Linked DNA regions of Arabidopsis thaliana. The protein of the gene in region 2 interacts with the protein of the main gene of each other region in a pairwise test. Each region holds a gene or a part of one and is shown on either strand. Other genes may lie near its edges. The genes, in order: AHG1, HUB1 and UBC1.

Evidence for each region.
Region 1: the proteins of HUB1 (region 2) and AHG1 interact in binary tests that used the Arabidopsis thaliana proteins (3 or more experiments, as listed by UniProt).
Region 3: the proteins of HUB1 (region 2) and UBC1 interact in a two-hybrid assay, tested with the Arabidopsis thaliana proteins (one study listed by BioGRID).

What each region holds. Positions count from the first base shown.
Region 1 is NC_003076.8:21,023,156-21,031,458, reverse strand, and holds AHG1 (Protein phosphatase 2C family protein), read right to left. Parts: upstream 4,585-8,303; 5' UTR 4,544-4,584; coding exon 4,079-4,543; intron 4,013-4,078; coding exon 3,668-4,012; intron 3,602-3,667; coding exon 3,496-3,601; intron 2,882-3,495; coding exon 2,547-2,881; 3' UTR 2,271-2,546; downstream 1-2,270. Other genes in the region: AT5G51770 (Protein kinase superfamily protein), read right to left, coding at 1-429. UniProt on the Arabidopsis thaliana protein: Negative regulator of abscisic acid (ABA) responses during seed germination.
Region 2 is NC_003071.7:18,545,248-18,553,550, forward strand, and holds the start of HUB1 (histone mono-ubiquitination 1), read right to left. Parts: upstream 3,406-8,303; 5' UTR 3,001-3,405; coding exon 2,884-3,000; intron 2,704-2,883; coding exon 2,542-2,703; intron 2,459-2,541; coding exon 2,380-2,458; intron 2,261-2,379; coding exon 2,033-2,260; intron 1,935-2,032; coding exon 1,773-1,934; intron 1,043-1,772; coding exon 849-1,042; intron 774-848; coding exon 690-773; intron 565-689; coding exon 445-564; intron 349-444; coding exon 162-348; intron 72-161; coding exon 1-71. Other genes in the region: AT2G44970 (alpha/beta-Hydrolases superfamily protein), read right to left, coding at 3,752-4,225, 4,408-4,695, 4,776-4,873, 4,959-5,008, 5,120-5,248, 5,414-5,660, 5,835-5,961, 6,197-6,259 and 1 more; ASG3 (SNF2 domain-containing protein / helicase domain-containing protein), read right to left, coding at 7,096-7,120, 7,197-7,311, 7,438-7,602, 7,683-7,828, 7,900-8,303. UniProt on the Arabidopsis thaliana protein: E3 ubiquitin-protein ligase that monoubiquitinates H2B to form H2BK143ub1. H2BK143ub1 gives a specific tag for epigenetic transcriptional activation and is also prerequisite for H3K4me and maybe H3K79me.
Region 3 is NC_003070.9:4,925,556-4,933,858, forward strand, and holds UBC1 (ubiquitin carrier protein 1), read right to left. Parts: upstream 3,258-8,303; 5' UTR 2,895-3,257; intron 2,594-2,894; 5' UTR 2,582-2,593; coding exon 2,457-2,581; intron 2,361-2,456; coding exon 2,335-2,360; intron 2,239-2,334; coding exon 2,149-2,238; intron 2,052-2,148; coding exon 1,963-2,051; intron 1,868-1,962; coding exon 1,739-1,867; 3' UTR 1,240-1,738; downstream 1-1,239. Other genes in the region: AT1G14390 (Leucine-rich repeat protein kinase family protein), read left to right, coding at 44-165, 245-491, 572-765, 862-1,239; WHY1 (ssDNA-binding transcriptional regulator), read right to left, coding at 3,797-3,916, 4,008-4,096, 4,170-4,243, 4,323-4,417, 4,551-4,643, 4,736-4,836, 5,036-5,255; AT59 (Pectate lyase family protein), read right to left, coding at 6,289-6,771, 6,869-7,556, 7,642-7,850. UniProt on the Arabidopsis thaliana protein: Accepts the ubiquitin from the E1 complex and catalyzes its covalent attachment to other proteins.

The DNA.
Region 1 (8,303 bases), on a different chromosome or scaffold from region 2:
CTTACCAGCGAAGAAAAGCTCGTTTTGAAACTCTCTTTCTCCTTGAAGAGAACCTGAATCCATTACTTTAACGGCGACATTACCACCACCGGAGGAAGGAGATAAAGTTCCACGGAATACAGAGCCGAATCCGCCTTGACCTAGTCGATTCTCCGGTGAGAAAGAAGCGGTGGCTTTACGGAGAGATGAGTAGGAGAACTCGTGTAACGGTTGTTTCTGCGGCGGTGTAGAGGAGGAGGCTACGGCGGCGGGAGATCGGCGTTTGCGGTTGAATTTGCAGAAACAGATGGAGAGAGTTATGAAGAGAGAGAAACCTACAGCTGCAAGAGGAGGGAAGATGCGTGTGGTGGTTGTTTCATGGTGAGGTGTGACGGAGGAAGAGAACGGTGAATTTACCGGTGCCGGCGACGGGAGTGTTCGTGACGGCATAGGAAAAAAAAAAACCTCTGAAGTGAAAATAAAAAATTGTGTTATGTTATTATTACACTTTGAAGATGAGCTGTTACAAGATTGTTGTGGTCACACACAGTAGTTAATGACTTTTCATACATTTAATGACTTTTTTAATTTTTTGACAGACATTTAATGATTTTTTTTTTATTACATCACGCAAAGACTATAATTAAAGTTTGACAGTTTTGTTATCACTTATCAACATACTATAGTTTAGTGATTTATGTATTATTGATATGCTATGTAATGAGATTATGAGAGCGTATAATTAAAGAGTATAATTTCACATGGGTCATTAGGATAGAAGTTATTAAGAATATTAATTTGGAGTTTTCTTATTAAATAGCTAAACAATGATGTGTTATGCTAAACTTTTATAGAATTTGATCAAATGAAGAGTATTTTTTAAAAAAAGAAATGCATTATAGGACTGACAAACCTGCGAAAATTTTGGTTCGGTTAAAGAATGTAGTGACTAGTGAGTGAACACAAACATATGGTTTTGGGGATTATTTGGATTGCATACACTTTGTTCAAAACATCTAACAAATTTAAAAGGAAAATGTGAGAGTATCTATCTAAAATCACAAATCAAGAGGTAAAGTATCAAAGTGTGTGGGAGATGAGAGAAGAACTACATGGGAAGAATTAGATTTTGGTATTAGATTACACCCTTAGAAAGTTAGAATATCTAGCCTGAATGTGTTGGTTTAACTATATCACGTTAGGTAGGGAATTAGACCACAAAAGAGATTGGTTAGATTTTCTTTTGACAATTTATAACTTTAGTTGTTAATTTAGATTGACATTTAAGCAAAGGCACTTACTAATATCCAGCATCCGAGTCCATTAATAATAATAAACAAAAATAGAGGGTAAAGATAAATTCCCAAGTCTTCAAATTCATTTAAAATTTGTGGCAAAAGAAACTTTTCTGATTTAGTAAAAATTTATTAGAAGAAGGTTAAGAAAGGGAGGGAAATGTAGTAGATTTTCTGGTTTGGTAGTTTAAACAAAATACAAAGAATATATACACAAAAGAAAAAAGTGGAGAAAAAAAAAAAGATTCTTGATTCTCACTCTCTTTTGTGGTCCAAACTTGAAACTAAACAAGACGTAGAGAGAAGCTAAAAGGCCCACAAACACAATTATGATTCAAAGAAAAGTGCGACACAAACACTGAGACGATAATGACCCAAAAAGAAAAGAACAAAAAGTAATGTAAGAATTATTCATGAGAACATTCTCCATCTCACGCTTTTTGTTTTACTTCAAAGACAATTCTTGATTCTTGATCTCCCTTTTATTTAGGACCAAAACTCTGTATTCGTCAAACCTGTTCGAATTGTTCCATTTCCATCGAACTATAAGAGTTGTCTTTTTGTCTCTCTTTCTTGAATTGTTCTCTTTGATTCTTTTGCACATCTCTTTTTTTTTTCCTTTAAAGCCTAAAGAGTAAAGACAATCTGGTAATTGGCCCAAAAGCCTATATAGCATTGTTGAACCAAATATAAAACTGCACGGTTGAGTAGGGTTAGGGCTGGTTCAAAATCTCAGCCTTAAATTCACTTCATTCAGGTTGTACCAAAATGTAAGTATTTGTAGACAGAGATGACTTTAACCATTGGAAATGATCAGTCCATCAAAAAAATATAAAAGACCAAGACCGGCGTCTAATGAACTACAACGAACAAAACCAAAGCAGTACTACGTTTTTATTTTATCTATTTATTTCACACATACCACCTAAATAGCTAAACGATCAATAACTTCAAAATGATCACACACATACAACAAACAAAATTAGAGAACAAATTCTCTCAAGTTAACTTTTATTTTATTGTTTAAACCACTAAATACCCTTAATAGCCCATGGCCAAACCACTAAATAACCTTGTAGCCCATATCCAAACAACTCTCTTTTCCTTTCACATTCGCCGGTGTTAATGTGTATTGGTAACCCCAATTCATAACAAAACAAAGACGGGCGCTAAACCCTAAAACTAATTAAGGCTCATCGCTATATCAACATCTTATTCTTTGGTTTAACCACTTAATTGCACAACCACCAAAAAAAGGATCCAAAACTAGTTTTACTGAGAGCTATTCTTGAGATCAATGACGACCACACTTATATTATCACTGCTTTGTCTACCCAAAGCCAACCGCGTTAGCAACGTTGCAGCCAATACACTCCTTGAAGGATTTTGTTCTCCGTCATTGTCGTCTTCTTGAGCCATTCTATTTAAATCAAGGCTCGAGGGAGTTTCTTCGCGGAGACAAAACCTAGCTATGTCACAAGCTAGCTGACTCGAGAGTACATCCCAAAGCCCATCGCTTGCTAATACTAAGCATTCATCTCCAGATTCCCTTCTCATGAATGTTACTTCTGGTTCCCATGCTACCATTGGTTTTAGATACCTGTCCCCTGCTCCATGAATTGTAACACAACATTAGGAACAATTTCCATACTAAAACTTCATGTTTAGTCTAATAAATTGTATAACCGAAATAAATTTTAAGTTGGTTAAATGATCAAACAATGAAAGATACAAAGATAAGACACATTTAAATACTTTTGAAGTTAAGAAAAATACTTCTCCCGTTCTAATCCATGAGATGGTTTGTATGAATGCCCACATTTTTTATTTTCGTAAAATGATTCAATTATTTTTGTTTTCTAGTTAATGCTGCAAATATAATTTTTTTTGTTTTTTTTTTTTTTTGTCAAATGTTAAACTATTAGGACCAATGTAAAATTTCTAGTTAACATTTTGACAAAAAAAAGAGAGTAAAATTTACATATTTTTTTTTTAAAGGAACAATTATAAAACATCTTTGAAAATAGAATTAGAATTAATCAACAAAAGAACTCGCACCAAATGAAACCAATCCATAGTACCTTAGTTAGTAAACTTAAAACCCTAAACCCCAAATCCGAAATGATTATTATTGCCCTTATAGGCTCTAGTTCCTTGCCATCTTCAACACTATCAACTAAAATCATCTTTTACTACAATATGAGAATTGAGAAAGGTATACCTATGGCTCTGGACGTGGCTAGAATTCCTTCAACTCTAGCTCCATCCACTACTAAAACTCGACCACCAGCTGCTTCAATCCTCGCACGCTCGTCTGGTCTATCCGGCTGCAAAAAACTCAACAACTTCAAAATAGAAACTCCAATATTCTCAAACCTTTACAAGAACACCACCTTGTGATCGTTACTCAGAGGAATAGCCATTCCATTTCGACACAACACCGCACGTGAGTCACCAGTATTGGCTACAATAATATGATCGTGCGTCAAAACCGCAGTGACCGCCGTTGAACCCGAAATCGCAGCCTCCCTCGGATCACAGTTACACAACGGCACACTAGTCCCACACACGCATGTACTCGTTGCCATCTCATCCATCCTCTTGAAACTCCGTTTCATCACGCCCCGCCATTTCCTCTCCACGACATCGTTTTCGCTTCCTTCTTCCTCCTCTTCGAGGTTTTGCTCTAGCTCCTCCTTGACAAACGTGTGCATAGTCGTGCTGCACAATGTTGACACCTGTCCACGCATCACATCAGCATCTTTATATTAAATGACCAAACCACCCCTGGTTAATTTTCTTACCTGAGAACCGCCGTGGCCATCGTATACCGCAAAGAAATGAACCGGTCTTTGCCGGTTAACTTCCGGTTTGCACAAATTCGGTTTAACAGTAACCGAATCCTCCATCTTACGAGATCTTCCCATAACCGAAACTATACCGTACAACGGCTCATCCTCCGTTTCTTCTCCCTTCCACACCGGCGCTTCCGATTTTTGGCAAGAAGATGCCGCCGGAGGTGCCAAAAAGCCCCCGATATCCGCCGGAAGACCACCGATCTCTGACCTCCGAGCTTGTTTCCTCAATGGAACGTCAAAACTTGAGTAAACTTCCATGTCCGTCCGATCACGATTCCTAGACGAACTAGGTTCGCCGAAAACCGCCGCTTGTCTCCGCATCTCAATTCTCCGACGACGACGTTCACGGCATTTAGTCGGAGAAACGTCGTCTCCACGTCCGGTTGAAATTGTTCTGTAGATTTCAGTCATCTTTTCAAAATTCGTTTCGGTGGATCAAGAGAGCACCGCTTTATATACATGGGGCCGAGAGAAAGAGAGAACACTTTGAACATAAAGAAGCTTACGAGGAAGACAGAACACGTGTCGGTGTTTCGATGTATTCGCGTGTTAGGCTCAGGTGTTAAGTTGTTGTCCACGTGGAGACGCCTTCGGTTTTTGTTAAACCGCATCCGGTTTTGGGTTCATGACGATAGTCGTTTAGCTAGGCTCTTGTGTCTTAACTCCTTTCTTCTTCTCCTTGCTTGAATTTGAACCCATGAGCCGGAGCTGATCTCTCAAACCATGTGAACTACAAGGATCAGGCTGGTTCTGGACTAATTCATCAAATATTATAGAAAATGAAAAACTCATGATATACGAAATATTGCATCTTGTTTCCTTTTGCTTTCAATATGAAAACATTAATGTCAAAACAATGACTATAAATGTAACAATATTGAAAAGGTTTATATCAATTTTCTTATTTTTAAAAAGAATTAAATTTTGAAAACCATCTTTTTGAAAAGTGAAAACAAACAATTTCTACTATATTAAATCTGGAATAACATTTACTGATCGTTCCAAATCTCGAGTAGTATTTTCTATAAAACCTGAACGGTAAGTATACTTAAACCAAATCATGGGATTAACCATAACGTTGGAGATATCTTCGGAGAAAAAGGTTGACGAATCGTCAATCGTCACTAGTCACTCTTTTTCGGTGCAACACATGTCACATAGTGATCATCTACAACTTCTCGATTCCTCAGGTTGAGCGACTTGTACCAATTAAACACGTAGCATAGTTATGCCAGTTTAGTCCATCAGTGCCATATGCCTTTTATTCTTTATTTGGTTTCCTACAAATGAAGAAAAACGGCGATATATGTATATTTTATGCTAACAGATTTGATTTGTAATTAATGTCTACTCAAATAAGCAACTGTACAAGATACAAAGAATCATATCATTATTTATTCAAATACTCAAGATCTACGAAAACCGTAATAAATGTTTACAAACTGTCTTTGAAATATATTAAAGTGGGTGAACTGAAATATGTGGATCGATCAATCCTAATATTTTGCTATATTGATGAGAATTAATACGAGTCGAATAGATCATAACAGTTAGGGTGGTTCTCTCTACATGAATGATATGGTTTAGCTAAAAACTAAAACAAACAAAATATTAAGCTAATATAAATGTGTAAGTTATCTAAAAGGAAGATAATAATGAAAAAGCTTGTCTAAAATTCTTAAAAAATGATTCAAACACACTTTACCTTAAATTTGTGATTAGTTGGGACTGGGATATAGTTTTAATCATTGGTGGGTTGGGTGGTTAGTTTTAGGTTTTAATGATTGAAAACTTAACTTGCCGATATAGTGATTTTGTTTTTTTTTTTATGTGAAGAAAATAAAAACTAGTGAGCTTAATTTCAATCCCTGGCTGTTTTAGTAGGTTATTATATATAAACCATATATGATAGAAATGTTATCTTCGTACATCAATGTTTGTTTAAATTGTTTATTCAGTTTTTTATGATCTTCTTGCGGAAATTTGGTTTAATAATTTTGCGTGTGGTTAGAATTACTATATGAAGGGAAGTTGCTTACCAAAAATCCTATGATCAATTCAGAAAAAGTTGGAAAATAATGAGAAAGAATAGTGTTTGTAGTGAAAATACTTTGTGTGGGGTCCAAATCTCCTGCAAAAAGAAACTAATGTGTAGAAGCATGCATGGAAACACCAATAAATTTTTCTGAAGACTCTATGGCACTAAAGTCAGTTAATTTGATCACCAAATATGACTGAAAACTATAAAGAATCGGAGAACAACAAAGAAAATAGGTTTCATTTCATGGCATGGAGTCAAGGGAAATATTCATGACATTGTCAATGATTTTAGGCTATATATGTTTCGAAGAAAAATAAGAAAATTGGTATTTTTGATGAAAAAGGAAAGTGAGGAAAAATTGAGTCGAACAAAAAGAAAAGCATCAACTTTGATGAGATAGAATCAAATTATTGAAAGAAGAGTTGTTTTAATATAAAAAAAAAAAAAATTTCCAGACTAATAGAAGATTTTTGTTGACCGGGTAAGTACGGAGAACTCAACTGATGTCACCTAATATTTTGCCATTTGTAGCCGAGAAACGAATCTCCAAATGTAGAGTTATGTAGTTTTATGTCATTTTAGTTGACTCGTTGTAATATTTAGTTAAATAATTAACAGTTTACAAAACATTTAAAAATATTATTTTTAGAATTAGATTTAAAAATAATATAGAAAGATCATAAATAAATTTATAACGCGAATGTTTCAATTGAACATAAATCATTCCAAATGTTTACTAATTAAATTTTGGCACAGTGATTAGAAAAGGATTGATTATATGTTTTTGTTAGCACAAGATAATTGGTTCCCAAAAGACGATTGCTATAATACGGTAGTACTTATACCAACTAACCCATCCAAATTTAAACATAAACAAATGTTTTAAAGTTTACCAACATTTTGTTCTCCGAAAACAATGTTTACAAACTAATTAACTAATAACTAAACTGTAAATTGCCAATGTTTACAATGTTTAAAAACATAAATTTATTCTTCTTAATATAACTCTGAGCACGGAACATTGCCAACAATTATAGTTTTGTATTAGTCTATATTTACAGAAGCTAAATAAATTTCTATTTTTCTTGATAAATCGTGATTTTTATGTTCACTCATTTCGGATAGTATCAACAATTTCATAAAGAAAATAAGTAAATTGTGGTGGGGAAATGAGAAACTTATCTTAAAAACATGTAATCCACGTGGTCGTATGGGAGCTTTCTAAGCTGCAAACCCACCGTCCAAGACCTAAATGGAAACCAAGGGGCAAGAGATCACAAGCCTTATTCCAATAACTTGCCGCTTTTGCATCACACATCTCCTTGTTTCTGTTTTGGATTTTCCAAAATAGAAGCTACTCGAAGCTCCCTTTGCTTTATTCTCATCTTCACGATCGACTTACTATTTTTTTTTGTAATATTTGTTCTATGGAATTTTGTTTCTAGGACAAGTATATAAATTGAGATATTTGTCGTTTCTCAAAACAACCTGAAACTTTGGTAAACCAATTTCATGTCAAAGTATATCGATCTAGCTCTAAAACTTATCGTTTCAAACCGTATTAGATATCAAATTTAAACTTTTGATTTTACAAAATTTTTAAAACTGGTCTGGCCGGTATTTTAATTTGTAAGTATTATATATCTACTCTGCAATTTAAATAAAATAAAATGTTTTGGCATGTTCTCTTAAACTACTGGTAAGTACACAGTTTTGATTCATGGTATTGAAATGTAACCGACTTTCTTATTCCTGAGAGTCCATATCTTGAAAGGACAACTTGAAATGGAACATGTACGGCATACAATAAACTATAGGTTGTTTTACTCGTACGCTAAGATTTTTTTTTTTTTTTTTTTTTGTAAAGGCTAAGTTAGTACAAAAATCTAGATATTAATTAAGTAGTATAATTTCGTGACAATATTTCCATGCTACTTAAAATAGTTGGTGGGAATTTAGTTAAAATATGTATACGTAAGGGAACTAATTTGAAATCTCACATATATAGGAAACGAAGTTGACAAAAAAAATGTTTTATAGGAAACGATTTTAATTAGAAAGATAGTAGCAAATAACATATGTTTAAGAAATCATTTTATTTGTTACTAAAATTTGAAAACATATATGCAT
Region 2 (8,303 bases):
ACGCATGGAACTCATTTCCTCGGGGAACGAAGAAATTAATGCCTTCATATCTGCAAAGATTTCTTTTCTACCTGACATACGAATAACTTAATCAGACTCCAAAGTGAAACAGGTGTGGGTGGGAGATACAGAATTGGAAGTCAAAGTAATCAATTTGTGACCTCGCTCTCTTGATATATTTCCCAGCCTAGTCTTGATTCGCATTTTTTCATCCAGTTGTTTCTGTATCTCCGAATCCAAAGAAGCCATTCTAGAATCAGTAACAGCAGACGTCTTTCGAGAAACATCACCTAGTTCATTTTTTATATTTATCTCCCTTTCCTTCCAGACTATACTATCTTTTTCAACCTGAAATTTTCGAATGGAGGAAAGCTTCACAACTAAATATACAACGTAAATTTTATAAACATAGATACAAAATGAAAATCGCAAACCAGATATAACCTGCAGTTTCTCAAGTAAAGCCATATACTGGAAAACTGCTTCTTTGGATTTTTCTAGCTGGTCTTTCAAAGAAAGGCAGGCTTGAGAAGATGAGATGCACCTCACAGACTTTGACTTGTTCTGTTAGAAAACTCTTACATCAGTTTTAGCAATAGGAAGAGGCTACCATTCCACAAATTTTCATATATCAAACCCCATACAGAGACAAACTAATACAAATACCCCAATTGGATCAATACACTGACCTGTAAATTACTCATTTTTCCAAGCATCTTTGTCCTCTCCTCATGAAGATTTTTTAGCTGTTGTAGCCTGCCTGAAGCCAGGACCTACCGAAACCAGGCCGTTATCAACCCAAAACTTAAAGAATTACCAATGAAAACAAATCAGAAAAACAAAGATACCGTTAACTCTTTCAGAACTGTTTCCATGTCTTGCAGATCCCTTTGTTTATCCCTCTCCCGATCACTGGTAGCAAGCTTATTTCCAAGACTCAACACTGGGAAAAACGCCCCAGCTGTTGCATCCCTTTCTGCTCTCAATGCTGACAAGTCACCATTACACTGCTGAAGCTCCACAACCTCATCCTCTAGCTCCCCTTCGAATAGACCAAATAAAGTATAATATCAGTTGATGCGGTAGTCAAGAAGCATTAATCCAAAAGCAGGCATGTAAACTAAAATAAATTTTAACTCTTTGAATTTCTTAACTGTGGCTACTGTCAGTATTGAAATCTTACATCTTAAGGTAAACGGGTAATTTATCAACAAAATTAAGATGCTTCACTTATGTGGATGTATGTCATTCTCAAAGAATTACCAGCTTCTCTATCTCCTAAAATCTACCGAAATATATAAATATGGGTAAATGGTATAAAAGAAAACTAAGAAGTTCATGTCTCAGAAGGGTTTTGTACACCCATCAGTTCGCTAATGAGTATATCTTCCACAGCTACATGTCTTCTTAACAGCTGGCTCTACCATAGAGGTTTTCTTCCAGTCTTAATGTATCTCTCTCTTCAATCTTAATCTCTATGATCTAAATCCAATCATGGCTATTAAACAACTGAGTAGTGCTGGACATAAATACACAGGCGTGGAATTGGAAGATTCACAATTTGATCACCTCTACTTACACTTATCCTCATCAATCAAAAGCGAGATATGATTTCAGTAGCTTTTCATGTATATAGGACCTTTTTTTGTCAAGCCACGTATATGATTACAAATTTACATTTGATGCATGAATACTATATCCATATAAACAATGCCAATTAAAAAATCCATTTTAACAGTATATAGTCGAGTGAGACGAGACTAAGTAGCTACCTCTTATTCGTTTGAGGTCTACTCTAACTTTAGCATCAGCATCGCGATGACTCTGCAATTCTCTAGAAAGTGATTTGAACTTCACAAGTACATCATCTAGATCCCCTCTGAAACTTTTAATTTCTGATTCCAACTCACTCAGAGCTAGCTGACCGCACAAATCTAGAAAAGAAAGCAATTCCACATAGGACCTGGGTTAATACTAAAATGTTATAAAGGCCATAACAAGAGCTGACAATTGATCGCAGTGGAAGTCATACCTTTACCAAGATTGGTTCTGAGAACTGTGGGATATAATTCATCCTTCAGACACCTCAAATCCTCTGTCGCGGCTACTAGATTATACAAGGTTTGCGTCATCTGGCTTGACGTATTCACTCCATTTTCTTCCATCTGATTCGAGCAGATATTGGATGAGGAGCTCTCAGTAGCACCAGTTTCAAGTAGCCGGTTGATGAAATCGTTTTTCACGGCTGGAGAAGACCCATCTGTGTAGCAATTTAAAGTTAACCTTTCAAAAAGTCATATTTGTAACATATAAAACCAAATCTAAACTAGATCCTAGCACTAACAGAACGAAGAAAAGGCGGGCTTAAGTTGTTCATACCCTCCTTGTTTACAAACCTATGAGCTCCGCTGCTTGAATCACTCACACGAACAGAGCATGATTCCACTGAAGCTGTAAGCTGCTATACAAGCATTAATTAGTTCTCTAGAAAAAGAGATCTAATCCAAGTTCTATTAGAATCGAAAGCAAATTCAGTGTTACCTTTTCCCAAGACTTATGGACAGTCTTCAAACTGGAGTTGTATGGTAATTGTTTTTCCTTGATCTGAGAGAGTTTATCCTCAAGAATAGAACACTCAACCTGCTGAGCCTCTAGCTTTTGTGATAGCTTAAGATTTTGGAACTGAAGAACTGCAGTATCAAGCTGTATCAAACGAAAACAAACTCCTTAAGAGAGAGAATCCCAATTCCAAAATAGACCAAATTCGAGACAAAAGACATTCAGTATATGAATCTCTAATAGCTGGAAAGCTATGATTGATTGGATAAGTAAGAGAATAGATGTAAAGGGCATGCACAAGGGGGAGATGAAGAAGAAAGAAACCTTGTCCTCGGAGGAGGGCCAAAAGAAAGGCTGTTTCTTTACGGCGGCTGCAGCTTCAGAAGGTGATATGGAGCTAAAGTGACGCCTTTTACGGTCAGGCTCGCCTGTGCTCGCCATTGAAAAACCCTAGAATCGCCAATTAACAGGATTAAGCCTTGTCTCACATCACCATCAGATTGAGTTTGAGGAAGCTCGAATACAAATCCCCCAAACCCAATGAGAAAACCCTAAACGATCCAAAGCTACGTGATTGCTTTAACCGAGGTAATTCCAATTGCTCCGCAGCTCTCCTTCGGAATAAAAAAAAACAAACAAAAAGAAACCCTAATCTCACAGGTCTTCCAAATTCGATCAGACTCTAATGCTATCAAACGCAAACAGACTTTGTCTGATCTTTGTGCGACTTAGATATTACAAACCGAGAACACACACAGCACTCACAGAAACAAAAACAAGAGTGAAAAGAAAGAGAGAGAGAAGAGAGAGTTGAAGTTAATTCGAGTACGATGGCGTAATTTTGTGAACATCTGGAGGGCACTTTCGGGAATTACATATTCCACTTACAGTATATAAGCATCGGCCGTCCATAGAATCTCCAACGATCCGAGCCGCACGATCACGGTTCGTTAAAGGAATAGAGAGAAAAACATAACTAATCTTCTAATAAAAATTAATCAACAATAAAAGAAAAAAAAAGAAGCAAATTAAGTAGTCTTATAAATATAAAATCTACCGTTTGTAATAATTTTTTTGTTATCGTGTGATTCAAACCTGATAGTAAATTAGTAAGAAATAAAACAAAAAGATAGAAACAAATACAGTAATTTGAAGTCTCAAGACGAAAGTAGAAATAAAACAATTTGGTTTATCAATCGATTTTTGTTGCGAGTTTTTGTTGCCTCTCTTGCTCAACTTGGACAAGCAAAGTTAAGAGCGCTTCACAAACTTGAGCAGCATCAGCTTCTAAAGGAACCTCGTTCAAGGAAGAGTACACCATCCAGGCATGGTCTAGTTTACGTTTGGGTCTAACAACCACAGAACCAGGAACCTCTGCGTCACAGCAAGTCACTAGCCCGTCACTCTTTTCACCGTATCTGACTTGAAGTAGCTGAGCGCAAGCAGCCATTGCAGCACCAAGTGGCATTACCACTGGCAGTTTTGCGGCTTGGTTTGTCAGAGGAAGTTCAGCGTGTGCTACGTGTGATAAAGTGGATAGAACCGCTGGGCTAATGCTAGCTTCTGTGCGGAATGAAACCGTGGGGAGTTCTCGGGGAAGCGGATGATTCTTCAAGAATTCTTTTCTTCTCTCGTATGTTAAATCTTCCAATGCTTGAATGTCACCCTTCACAATGTTCCAAGGAATTCATCAGAAAGATCAGCAGAGCAATAGAATCCAGAAACAAAATAAGTTTTGGTTTATCCCTAGTTTCTCGGTTCCACCTAACTAAGGATTTTAACAGGCAATCACAAGAAGCTGATATAATGCAACTGAAATGACTTTGTTAGATCAGGAATGTTGCAAACCTTTATGACTTTGGAGATTAGAATCTCCATCATCTTTCTCAAATTGACGTAATCACCTAGTTGTCCTTCACGGAGGATATCTGTAGCTATTGGGCTTCCACCATATGGACTCTGCGCCAGTACCAACCCAGCGACCTTATCCTTTAGTTCAGGCCAGTATAGTGATAAAGCAGCAGCTGCATCTATGCCTCCTTTGCTATGCCCAAGAAGTAGAACCCGCTTATTAGATCCCCAACAGAGTTCCTCTATGTATTCCTTTATCTCTCTCGCATTTTTCTCAACCGAGGACTGATATATAAACATTTCTCCATATATTAGTATGCTATACACCAAATGTAACTGTACTAAGTTGAGTTAGTTATGATTACCTCGCTGTGAATCTTCGCAATATGACACGCCAAACCCATCTTTGAGAATTTCGTTTTCGTATCCACAAAATATAGAGGTCCATGATTGCTGAAAAGACCTAAAAAAAATTCAACTAATTTTGAGAGTCCTAATATACAGTAATGTAGTTTAAGTGGCTGGCAGCAAAGAATAAGAATTGCTACCTGGAACCAATAAGTACACCACTGTATTTGGAAGCCTGTGTACACCATGCCTGGATATAAAAACCAGATCAACGCAGCCATTTAGTAAAAAACAGGATGTTAAACAGCATATTGAAAAGGCCACAAAGCACACAAAACATGCAACTACAACCAATTCATACCCGATGTCTTCCAGAATTTTATTGAACCTATCAGTTCCATCTTCAACAGGAGGCATCTCCGGGGCACGCTGTAACCATCCTATGTCATCTGCCGAGCCACGAACAGTCCTCCGTGCCCGCTCAATGAGCCTGATTGAATTAAAATAGATCAATCACCCAAATGCTGAAAACTTGACAAGAAGTAGTAGTGTATAGAGATTATTGTATTGCTTCAGTTTCACATATTCATAGTATTAAGATTTTACATATCTACTAGTATGGGGAATTTGTATCTGTAATACAAAGTACACGTACCCTTGGAACATTGAAATTCCATTTAAATTTAACCGATTCGAAGTCACTATTGCATTTGTTGCCTGTGGCAGAATCTCTGTAGATTCCCTCGACGGGCTGTTGGCATCAGATGTAGATGCCTCTGAAGAAGTTGAAAACCTTTCACCAGGCGAAATGCATACACTCACTGGGGAATTCCCGTCAACTCCGGAAGTTGATCGTAACAACTCATGGGGGTGGGAAATAGTATCCTTGCCACCATATTCTACTGAAGAAAGCATTGAAAGAACAGATGCTAAGCAAAGCCTGAATTATGTTACGGTGACGATAAGATCCTAACACCATAAATATCTGCTAAGCATATTTTCCATAAGTAAAGCCTAGCATATGAACGTGGAATTGCATACTGAGTACGACATCAACAGATAGAAAGAAAGGGTACCTGAATAGTCAGAAAAACAGCTCCCTAAGTAAGACGTTGCTTGAGTTATATAAGAAGCAGCTTCATTAAGAGCTGGTAAAGAATTAAACACTTGTGGTGCAACCGCATTGTCCCCATTACCACCGCCCTGGCCATGGAAAAATTACTGATATTAGAATGGTAGTCTCAATGCATAAAGAACCAAAAATTACGAATATCCTCTTTAACCCCATTTTAATCAACTTATATGTTTCCGTTGATATAGAAACCAAGAGAACGTTAAGTTGACTCCAAACAGAATTCCATTAAGATGAGAGCATAAAGCAAGTATAGTTTCTGAAAGTATTATCTAAAAAGTGAGAAAAGGAAGCCACAATACTTACAACAAGAGGCGTGACAGATTCTCCGTCTCTGGATTGACCAGCTTCTCCCATTTTGATCAATTTCTAACAACATAAACAAACACACAATCAAATATAAAATCCTTCATATATTCATGCCAATGAACAACAAGTAAAGAAGAATTACAAAGACTAAGCCTATGAAATGATAGCTTTTCCAAATAGCAATTTCAAAATTTTAAGCTTCCATGTTTCTTCTAAAAATTTCGGAAAGCACCGATTTTAAACTGATTAACGAAGGTTGCTTAACATGTCAAAATACCAAATCCATAAAAAATAGAAAAGAAGACGTGAAAAAAAGAAATCCAGCGGGAAGAGTCTCGAATCCGGTTAATGAAACGGCAAACAACATTAGGAATTGATAACATGCAAGTGAAAACACAGACGCTCTCAATTTTTGCATTGATGACAAATAAACAACAAAGTTGATGACCGGATCCAAAAATCGGCAACAAGTTTGGGAAGAACGGATTGAGGAAGAAGAATCAACTAATCAGAATTCGGGAAACGTAGAAAAGGTACCTGGAGCTTTAGGAATGTGGGATCAAAACGAAACATAGACACAAGGAGACAGTTTCTTCAACGATTCGGATCATATTGTCCTAAGCCGCGGGGAAAAGAAACCTCGTGAAGAAAATAGAAACGCGATTTCAATTTTGACGACCAACGTGGAACCAGAGGCACTAGAGACGCAACACGTGTAAATTGGCTCAGTGATCAAGATTGAATTATAAGATTAGGCTATTATTTAATTATACATTAATATGGGCCACTACTGGGCCCAATTACAAGTCTTCCTTCTACATACAAACGACACCGTTACATGTACAACCAAAAGCAAATTATATTACAGCGTCAAAAAGACTATCCCATTGTGTGATTCAGGGAGATCGACGATAATAGTACCTACAAGAAAGCAACAAAAATGAGTTTGCTTTGGATTATTCAAAAGAAAGAAGACGGGCGACACATATAAACTTACACGAATATTTTGACGGTGAAGATGGAGGAGTATTTTCGAAGAAGACGCTCAACAGTGTACCATTGAGATCGGTCTGATCCGTCTTGGTAACCAATACGTGGCATGTGGAGTGAGGCTTTTTGAGGAGAGAACATTACCATACCAGAAATGACAACACAAGTGTTAAGCTCTTTGGGAGCACTTTTGTTTATAATTCCAAATATGATGAAACTTTAAAGAAAGAAAGTAATTAAGTTCGTACCTGATTTCTGAGAAGCAGAGAATGAAGCTTTGGCTAAGCAACTTTCAAGGTCTGGAATTGAAATGCTACTACGTGGGACTTTACGCCTCGAATTGTAAGATTGTGTAACTGCAACTGCCACCCAAAGAGGCTTGCTTGCTTGTGTGTTTTGTTGGTCATCATTGTCTACACAACACAAAATACATGAGAACTCTTTGATGTTGTTAGAAAATGAAAGGAAGATAGAAAAAAAAAAAGTTGCAGACCATCAATTTTTATGAGATGCAGGTCTCCAAGATGAAGGTCTTTAAACTCGGATGCTCGGTGATAAGCAGTGGGTACAGTATTAGACAGTTTTGACAGAGCATCAAACATTCCACCACGTCCCCAGTTTCCAGAGTCATCAACACAGCTGCCATAAAATCAATATTTGGAAGTTTTAGAGGTTTGGTTTTTAGATGAACAATTGAAATGAAGTTTTACCTGAATATGATTGCTGGCTCATGAGAGACAGTTGATGGATTTGTACAGTCTCCAAAGACAAAGTTAACAGATCCTGCATCTGAGCTGGAATCAACATCATCAGGCAAAATCGGTTCTTCCACGGACAAAGACTGATAACCGTGTGCTCCCCACGTGGCTAACTTCTTCTCTTCTGCCTTTTTCCTGGCAGCCTCAATTCTCAGATTTCTTTCCTCAGATAAGTTCTTTCTATTTCCCAACTCAATAATTTTTTCATCCTTGCTTGATCGTGCAGCTTCCTTCAATTTCTCAACCCATGAAAGGTAAGAAGCTTCATCAAGCTCGGAATCCAGACTTGCAGATGATGTATTTCCTAGCAAAGTGTCGCTCGAATTAATTTCAAACCTTCTTTCTTCCTTGTCTGG
Region 3 (8,303 bases), on a different chromosome or scaffold from region 2:
TTCACACCCATTAACCTAACTAGCTTGATTTTTTCAAATGCAGGACGTGTACCGCAAACCATGAGATCCGCGGTGATTGGACTATCACCATACCGAGTTTTCTCTTTGGAGGAACTGGAAGAAGCAACCAACAATTTTGATGCAGAGAATCTCTGTGGAGAACAGGTAAAGGAAAATGTAAATAAGACATGATTTAAAATTGATCCGAGTGTCTAACTAATCGATATATCTAATTTCAAAACAGCTGTACAAAGGTTGTCTTAGAGAAGGCATAGCAGTGACAGTGAGGTGTATTAAGCTGAAACAGAAGAATTCAACACAGAATTTAGCTCAACAAATGGAAGTTTTATCAAAGCTAAGGCATATGCATTTGGTCAGTGTTCTTGGACACTGCATTGGTACTTATCAAGATCATCATCCTTATGCCGGAAGCACTATTTTCATTGTCCAAGAATATATCTCTAACGGGTCTTTGAGGGATTACCTCACCGGTAATACTTGAAAAAGATTATCGATTTCAAGAACTTATATTTTTGTTGGGAAACTAATTATTTGGAAATGTTTTTGGCAGATTGGAGAAAGAAAGAGGTGTTGAAATGGCCTCAGAGAATGTCGATAGCGATTGGAGTTGCTCGAGGAATACAGTTCTTGCACACAGGAGTGGCACCAGGAATATTTGGGAACAATTTGGAAATAGAGAATGTTTTACTTGATGAAACACTCACTGTAAAACTCAGTGGTTATAGTATTCCTTTACCATCCAAGGTATATAAACAAACCAGATATAATATAATCAGGATATAGCTTCTAATCTTCAGTTTAACCTCTCATGAAATATATAACCTTCTGGGGGAATTTCAGGTTGGAGCGGAGAGCCCTAGTAATGAAGATGGAGAGAAAGAAGATGTGTACCAGTTTGGAGTGATACTAATTCAGATCATCACAGGCAAAGTAATAGCAGCTGCATCTTCAGAGTTGGGGAGCTTGAAGCTTCAGCTGGAGAACAGTTTGAGAGACGAACCATCGGTGTTGCGTAGCTTGGCAGATCCGTGTGTGAGAGGAACATATGCATACGAGTCATTGAGAACCACAGTAGAGTTTGCCATTAACTGTCTTTGTGAAGATCAGAGGAAGCGGCCATCGATAGAGGATGTTGTATGGAATCTGCAGTACACAATTCAAGTGCAACAAGGATGGACAAGCAGTGAGAACCTCGGGCTTGGTGGTTCAGAACTATAGAAGAGAAATATAAAATCACCATCCTTGAAGAACATAGAGAAACTGATCAATGTCAAATTCAAGGCCTATATGAGAATACATAAAGTTGAACCTACTAATACTTAAGGTACTTACGAGTCTCATGTGAAGCTTCAGATTTTGGTGTAGAAATTGGATTAGCGTCACAAAGAAAGCAATGCAATTGTTAAGGCAATGAAAGGGTGTAACAGAAGGATAAGGCCACAAACCCTTAAATAAAATATCGCAACTTTGTGGAATTTGGGTACAAAGTTGTTTTTTGTAGCTAGCAAGTAAATCGTAATACATATATACACAAAAGTGAATAATTCAGATGGTTTGGTACAAAGTTGTTTTTTTAAGGATGTTGGGTTACATCAAAGCATGGAATCACTTAAATAGTTTTGGAAACACAAGACATGAATGAAAAGAGAAGAAAGCTGTTGCTGAATCGTGATTGAGAGAAAGTAGAGAGAGCTACAACGCTTACAACAAACTACTACTAGTCAGCAGTCCAGCTTTGCTCAACAACATCACGCACTCTCCTGTTGTACTCGCGCTTGCTTTCGCTGTACATCCGAGCAGCTTCCGAGTTTGCAGGAGAATTCGGATTAGGGTCACAGAGCAAGGACTGCAATAACAAAGGGAAAAACGGATTAGAGAAGAAGAAAGCAATTCAAGCTTTTAAGGGCATCAAGAGATGTTCATATGGCATTTTGAATTCACCTGGATGGAGGTAAGTATAGCAGCAACATCATAGATTGGACTCCACTGGTTTTGTAGAATGTCCAAGCAGATACTCCCATCTGCATAAACTACACAACGAATAGAGCAGAAGAACGTTAATTGGAGGCAAAAGCTGAACATCAACCAGGTGGATAGAAAATCCAATGTTGTATCTCTATAACTTACTATTAGGATGAAACATCCGTGACACAAACCGAACTGTTGGTGGTTTATTGGGATAATCTTCAGAGAACTGCAGTGAGAGTTTGAAAGTACCTGAACAGCATCAAGAAAGAGACATAAGAACACCACTACAACGATCCCAAAAATTTATGCTTCTTGTCAAAATGCAATAACATATCATAACCATACCTCCATCCCATGGTGTGTCATCAGGCCTACAAATTTAGAAACAAAAAGGTCTAAGTAAGTACAGAAATGACAAAAGTTTCAGAAATATTTAGCCAGTATCTAAAGGTACTTGTTCCCATTACCCAAATATGACAGCATTCCAGAGCATAATGTTGTTGTCCTGTGGAGCACCACTAATACCCGCAGGTGGGTCTTGCTGCAACCTCTTGAAATCCCTCATTAACCTCTTCCTTGCTGGCGTCGACATCCTCCTTTCTTTCTAATAAACAAAACCCACCAAATATTCATCACCTTTTAAGGTCTCGAACCTCTATCAATCTAGAAATTACTACTAACGATTTACGTATGCTAAAGTTGCTAACTTTGTACTAGATTCGAATCTTCCTAACAAGTCTACGACCTATGATTAGCTTAGAAGAAACATATAAGGCTTGAACCTAGAAACAGCTTAAGATCGCATCAATTCACCAAAATAGCCACACACAAATGATAAGATGAAAGTAAAATCAACGGATCCAGTAAACAAACATAGAAGAACAGAGATCGGATGAAAATGGTACCGTGGAAACAGATCTCGTTGTTGAGGTAAAGATCGCGGAGAGAAGAGGTCGTCAAACAAACATATGTGTTCAGCGGTGTTGACCGCCGGTAATCAGAGAAAGTTTTCCGATCGATTCAGGTCGGCGATTCTCAATATCACCGTGCGATGAGAGAAATGGGTAAAAAAAATCAATAATTTGGGAAGAGATCGTATAAGTGATGAATGAATGATCTTCTAGAAGCTTGGCTCCTCTCTGACATATCTGTAAAGTTGGATTCGCTTTGCCCTTTGGACGACCGAGCGAGTGGTTGGTTTGTTCCTAACCGGAATTAAACCGTTTAGGGCAATCTACACTTTAACCGGGAGATTAGTGTTAGTTAACATACAACGATGACATGTAATCTTTTTTATGTAAATCTTCAGATGACAAATTAGAGTACTTTTCTTAATGTAGCGTAAACTATATATTTCTAATAAACCAATATAAACCATTGTACCACTAACCGGACTAAAATCCAGACCCAAACCACAAGAGTAGAGTAGAGTGATGTTTTTGTTACTAGAGAGAAATGTTTTTGTGGTATGTCTTGTTTCTCCAATCTCTCTAGACAAACCAATTCATCTTCAAGCCTCGTCTCAAAGCCTAGGCATTTGGATCATACTAGCTCGTACTCAGACTTCAAATTGAGATTTGCTCTTAAATCAAAAACAACTAAGATCAGACTGATGTTTTGAGATACAACCGCTTACCACGAAATGATATGTGGCTTTTGAACATTTGGTCAAAAGGACGAAAAAATAAACTACTTTTAGTCTCTTCTGCTACCTACGAACATATATCAATCCTGACGAAACCTATCAGCAAAACAAAAAGGGTAGGATGATCTCTGATATATGTTCCTGTTATGGCCCTAAGATTCATCATCTATTCCATTCATAGTCTCCTCCATAGTTAGGCGAAGCGTTGTTCACACGGCTTGTCTCTTCTGGTTTGATGGAGTTTGCAAATGCATGCCAGCCTATAAGGTAAGGCAAGACAAACTTGCAATATAGAAGAAAAAAAGGAGTTTAGTAATGTTTCTTTGAAAGTTCATGCCGGTAATGTTAAAGATGAGATATTTTCTGATCTTACATTGAATGCAGAGATAAGAACAGCAAACTCTGCTCGAGTAATTGGTATGTAAATGCTCTCATCCACATTCACAAGCTTGTTTTGAACACCTAATATATACACGGAGATCGTTAGAGACTATCCTTTTTGACAAGAATCAAGAAGAAGATTAAATTTACTTACTTAGGTTGAAGAAATGACCAGAACCATCTGGGAGAGGCTCAACTTTCAACACTTTCCTTACTTTTCCCTCATCACTACATACAACAAACAAACCGATCAGGAGCAATATAATAAGAATACAACCAATATTATCAGTGTAATGATGCTTTTTACCTTTTCCCCTTGAATGGATCATGGAAGAATTCACAAGATTCCCTCGGGCCTAGGCTAACTAGAGTTCCAATTTCTGTAACAGACAATGAGAACACCTGCAATTTTGACATGAAGCTTTACCAAATTCATAATAGAAAAAAGACTGCCTTTTAACACCAAATCCAGTCAAATGGTCTTAACAAAGTTACAGCTCAAGGATCATCTGAAGTTAAAGAGATAAAACCAAACCTGTTTCTTGCTCCAATCATATTGTCGTACACCAGCAGAAGGAGCAAACTGGAGCAATAAGAAACCATCTTTTGACAACTTGAAAGCTCCAGACTGCAGAAAAACAACAGAAATCAAATGGAAAACTCAAAGCATGATTATTCAGTTAGAGCTCTTTGATCTTTAATTTTGGGATAGAGACTTACGTCTAAAGCCACAAACTCTGGTGCTCTTGGGTCCACTGTTAACGCAGCTTTCCCTTTGTATATCGAATGACCCACGTAAAATCTAGCAGGCAATCCTTCAGCTATCAAATCGAAACAAAGAACACAAGTAAACATCACCTACGAGCTCCATCTATAGATATAAAAAGAGTTCTCTTTTTGGATTTCAAGCTTCAAGGTTACAAATTTCTCGTAATTAAGAGTACCCTTTTGTGTTTTTAAGCTTCCAATTTCTTAATTAAGCAAGCTAAAACCCTAAAGTAACCAAGTGAGATGGCTTACCAGGTGAAGGAGAAGAAGAAGAGTCACCGAACCTCTGCTTCTCGAAGTAATCCGTCTGGCGAGACTTAACCGAGAAGAGCTTCACCGTCTTCGTCGTCGGTTTCAAGGCGAATCCATGCCGTTTCACTGCAAAACCTCCGGTGACGAGTACTGAAGACGAAGAGAGAAAGCGAGGATTGGAGTTGACCGCCATTAGAGGAGTCGATAAGAGTTGCGACATCGCTTTGTGTTTGTTCCCTCTCAGTCAATGTAGTGTGTCTTCTCTGCGAATTACGATGGAGGAGAGAAAAAGGCGCTTCCTTTACACACTCAGAGACTCGAGACTCGAGAGAGATGACGAGACAAAGAAAGTGATAACTTTTCGTTAATTCGTTTCTACAGCTTTATTTCTTCAAAAATTACAAATAGACCCAAATTTTATAAATTTTGTTGGAATATTGAGAGAAAGAAGAAACAGAGTAAGAGATAATATCTCTTCTCCTTAGAGAAGACAAAAGAACGAAAGAGAAACTTTTATTGAACTGAAACTTGTCTATATACATCTGCAGGCACATACAAGGTCGTTTGTCTATGTACCTCTGCATTAATAGGTCTAGAAAACGCTACTACATGCGAAGTTTTCGATTTTAGGACCAACGATTGGCCCGACCAAGTGATAAGACATGAGACAAAATATGTTCCATAGATCTATATACAATTGGACTTGGCTATGCTGTCTCAACAAGAACACTGTTGACACTTGACTTCGAAACCAATTCATATGATTATGCTTTCTGGAATAAATCCATATCTACTGGATTTGTTCTCTGTTATTTCCCAAGTTTGGTCTCTATTCAGTAATTTGATTATTGTCAATGCATATTGTAATATTTGCTTCTTCCATCAACAGTTTGTTGGTCAAATTTTGCAACTCTTCAAGATATTGTTTTGGTCCATATAGCTAATAACATTCGAGACAAGATAAGAGAGCTAATTGATGAAAGTATTACGAGGAGATTGTATAATTAGTATAAAGATCTAAGGTATTTTGATTTTCTCATTTTTCCGTAGAAAAAGGAACCTGGATCCTATTAAGAATAATAATCCGAAAACTGCGCATTATATATGCAGTCTTAGTTACAAAACACCATTCATAGAAAAACATTCTCTTTCGTTTTCTCTCCTCTCTCTCCATATTGTTTTTCTTGAACAACAAGCAAAAACAGGGCAAAAGCTTTGGCTGTTTGTTGGAAGGGGGCAAAATGGTTATGTAATCAGCAAGCTTCACCAAGTTTGCAGCCAAGTACTCCTGCATCCATGGTAAGTTTCCGGACCATCGTTCCCGGTTTAGGTCGAATTGTAAACTTGTTTGGGAGCGGGGTTTTCGGTTTAGAGCTCCACGCATTTGCTTTTCCGGATTGCACAAAATAAGCTCCGTTGAGAAAGTAATCTCCTTCTGATTGCCAATTCCAAGATTTCCATTCACCGTATGGTGTGTACTCTCTTTTTGTAATCTGTTTGGCTTCTTCATTAGGAGGAGCAATGAAACGATTGCCTTGACTAATAATTGTAGGGTTCATGTTCCCACCAATTGCATACATTTCCCAATGTGTGTAGTCATTGTTCACCACATGTATCGTTCCGTATCTGCAACGAGGCATTCTCTGTTCCAATCGCTTACCGAAGTGGTTAAACGCAACCGTTATCTGCATTTTCTTGTCGATCACGTGTTCGTCCCTCGCCCCAAACAACATCACCTGTTCTCTCACAAAATTTAAAACAAGACTCTAAATTAGAGGTCTTGATTGTTTCATATGCAACTTCACATGAGCGAAAACAAAGGAATCTTTTTACCTCTTGGTGGTCGGTGAAATGACTGTTGGAAATAGTTACAGCAGTGGAGCCGTCAATAGCATCGATCATACCATCTGCACATCTTGTCATTGAGACATGGTCGATCCAAATATTGGTTGCTCCAAACAAACTGATTCCATCACCATCACTTTTTGTCCTAAGCCCTATGTGAGCCTCAGAGTCTCTGATCAACCCACCGTTCCCAGGAACAATGTGCTTGACATAAATATTGTGAATGATCACATTATTCACAAATTGCAACGTTAATCCAGCACCTTCCATGATGTAAACCCTAGCTCCTCTTCCATCGATTGTTTTGTCGCTCGTTATCATCAGTTCTTGTTGCAGTTTTATGATCATGCTTCTTGCGAATATGATCCAAAGCGGTCCGTCTCGAGTCACTGCATGCCTTAACGTTCCTGGTTTAGGGTTGATAAGATCGTTGTCAGACGCGTCTTTGACGACGTATATCGGTCCGTCTTTTCCTCCGGTGGTTCTCCGGCCGAATCCGAGCACACAGTCGGCTAGTTTCTTCCGGTTATTAGCCCAGTTACGATCGCATCGCCAGCAGTTGTCTATCGGGTTATAAGCTAGGCATTTTCCGCTGCTTTTGTGCGTTTTACGACCACTTCTCACCTGAGTAAGCTCTCTCCTTGTATCGTTCCTTGATTCCGATGCATCCACTGCTCTGTTAAAAAAAATAAAAAGTGTTTAATTAGTACTTGTTTAGGAAGTTAGGTTAAACATTTGACCTAACAAAGACAAAAACTCACATATTGACATGGTAATTAAAATGGTTGGTGACGTTAAGTGGATGAGGATCGTAAGAGCCGATGGTTTGTTTCAATGCATCACTTTGTCGTTGCGTCCAGTAGCTATCAAAGACAGCAACATTGCCTCGAACCTGTGGGGCCACTATAGCTAAGAACGAAGAGAAGAAAACGAAAACATAGCCGCCAAGATTCAAGAAAGCTGCTGCCATTTTAAATATATTGCAAATGCAGAGACCAAAGCCTGTGAACTTTATATTTTCCCGGCAAAACCTCAAACGGAGGTTGTTGTTTCAGATAGGCCTGCCGGGATTAAAAGATTAAAGATTTGAATCACCTGATTGCTTTAATAACCAGGAACTGGGGAGAGAGAAAAGGAGATGAGAAGAGTCAATAGAGGATTGAGAATTAACATAGATTAGACAACCATTGATTTAAATCTCTATGGTCATTTCTCCAAAAAACCCAATTATAGATTTTGGATGCCTTTGTTTAATCCTTCTTTTCTGGATATTTTCAGTTATTTTTGCCTTGATCTAATATTATTTTTACTGAGATAATTACCCAATAGCACCTTTAAAACTTGAGGTAACTATTTTTGTATTTACTTAATTAATCATACATACTACATATGATTATTAAACGTAGTATATATCAAGTCTCTA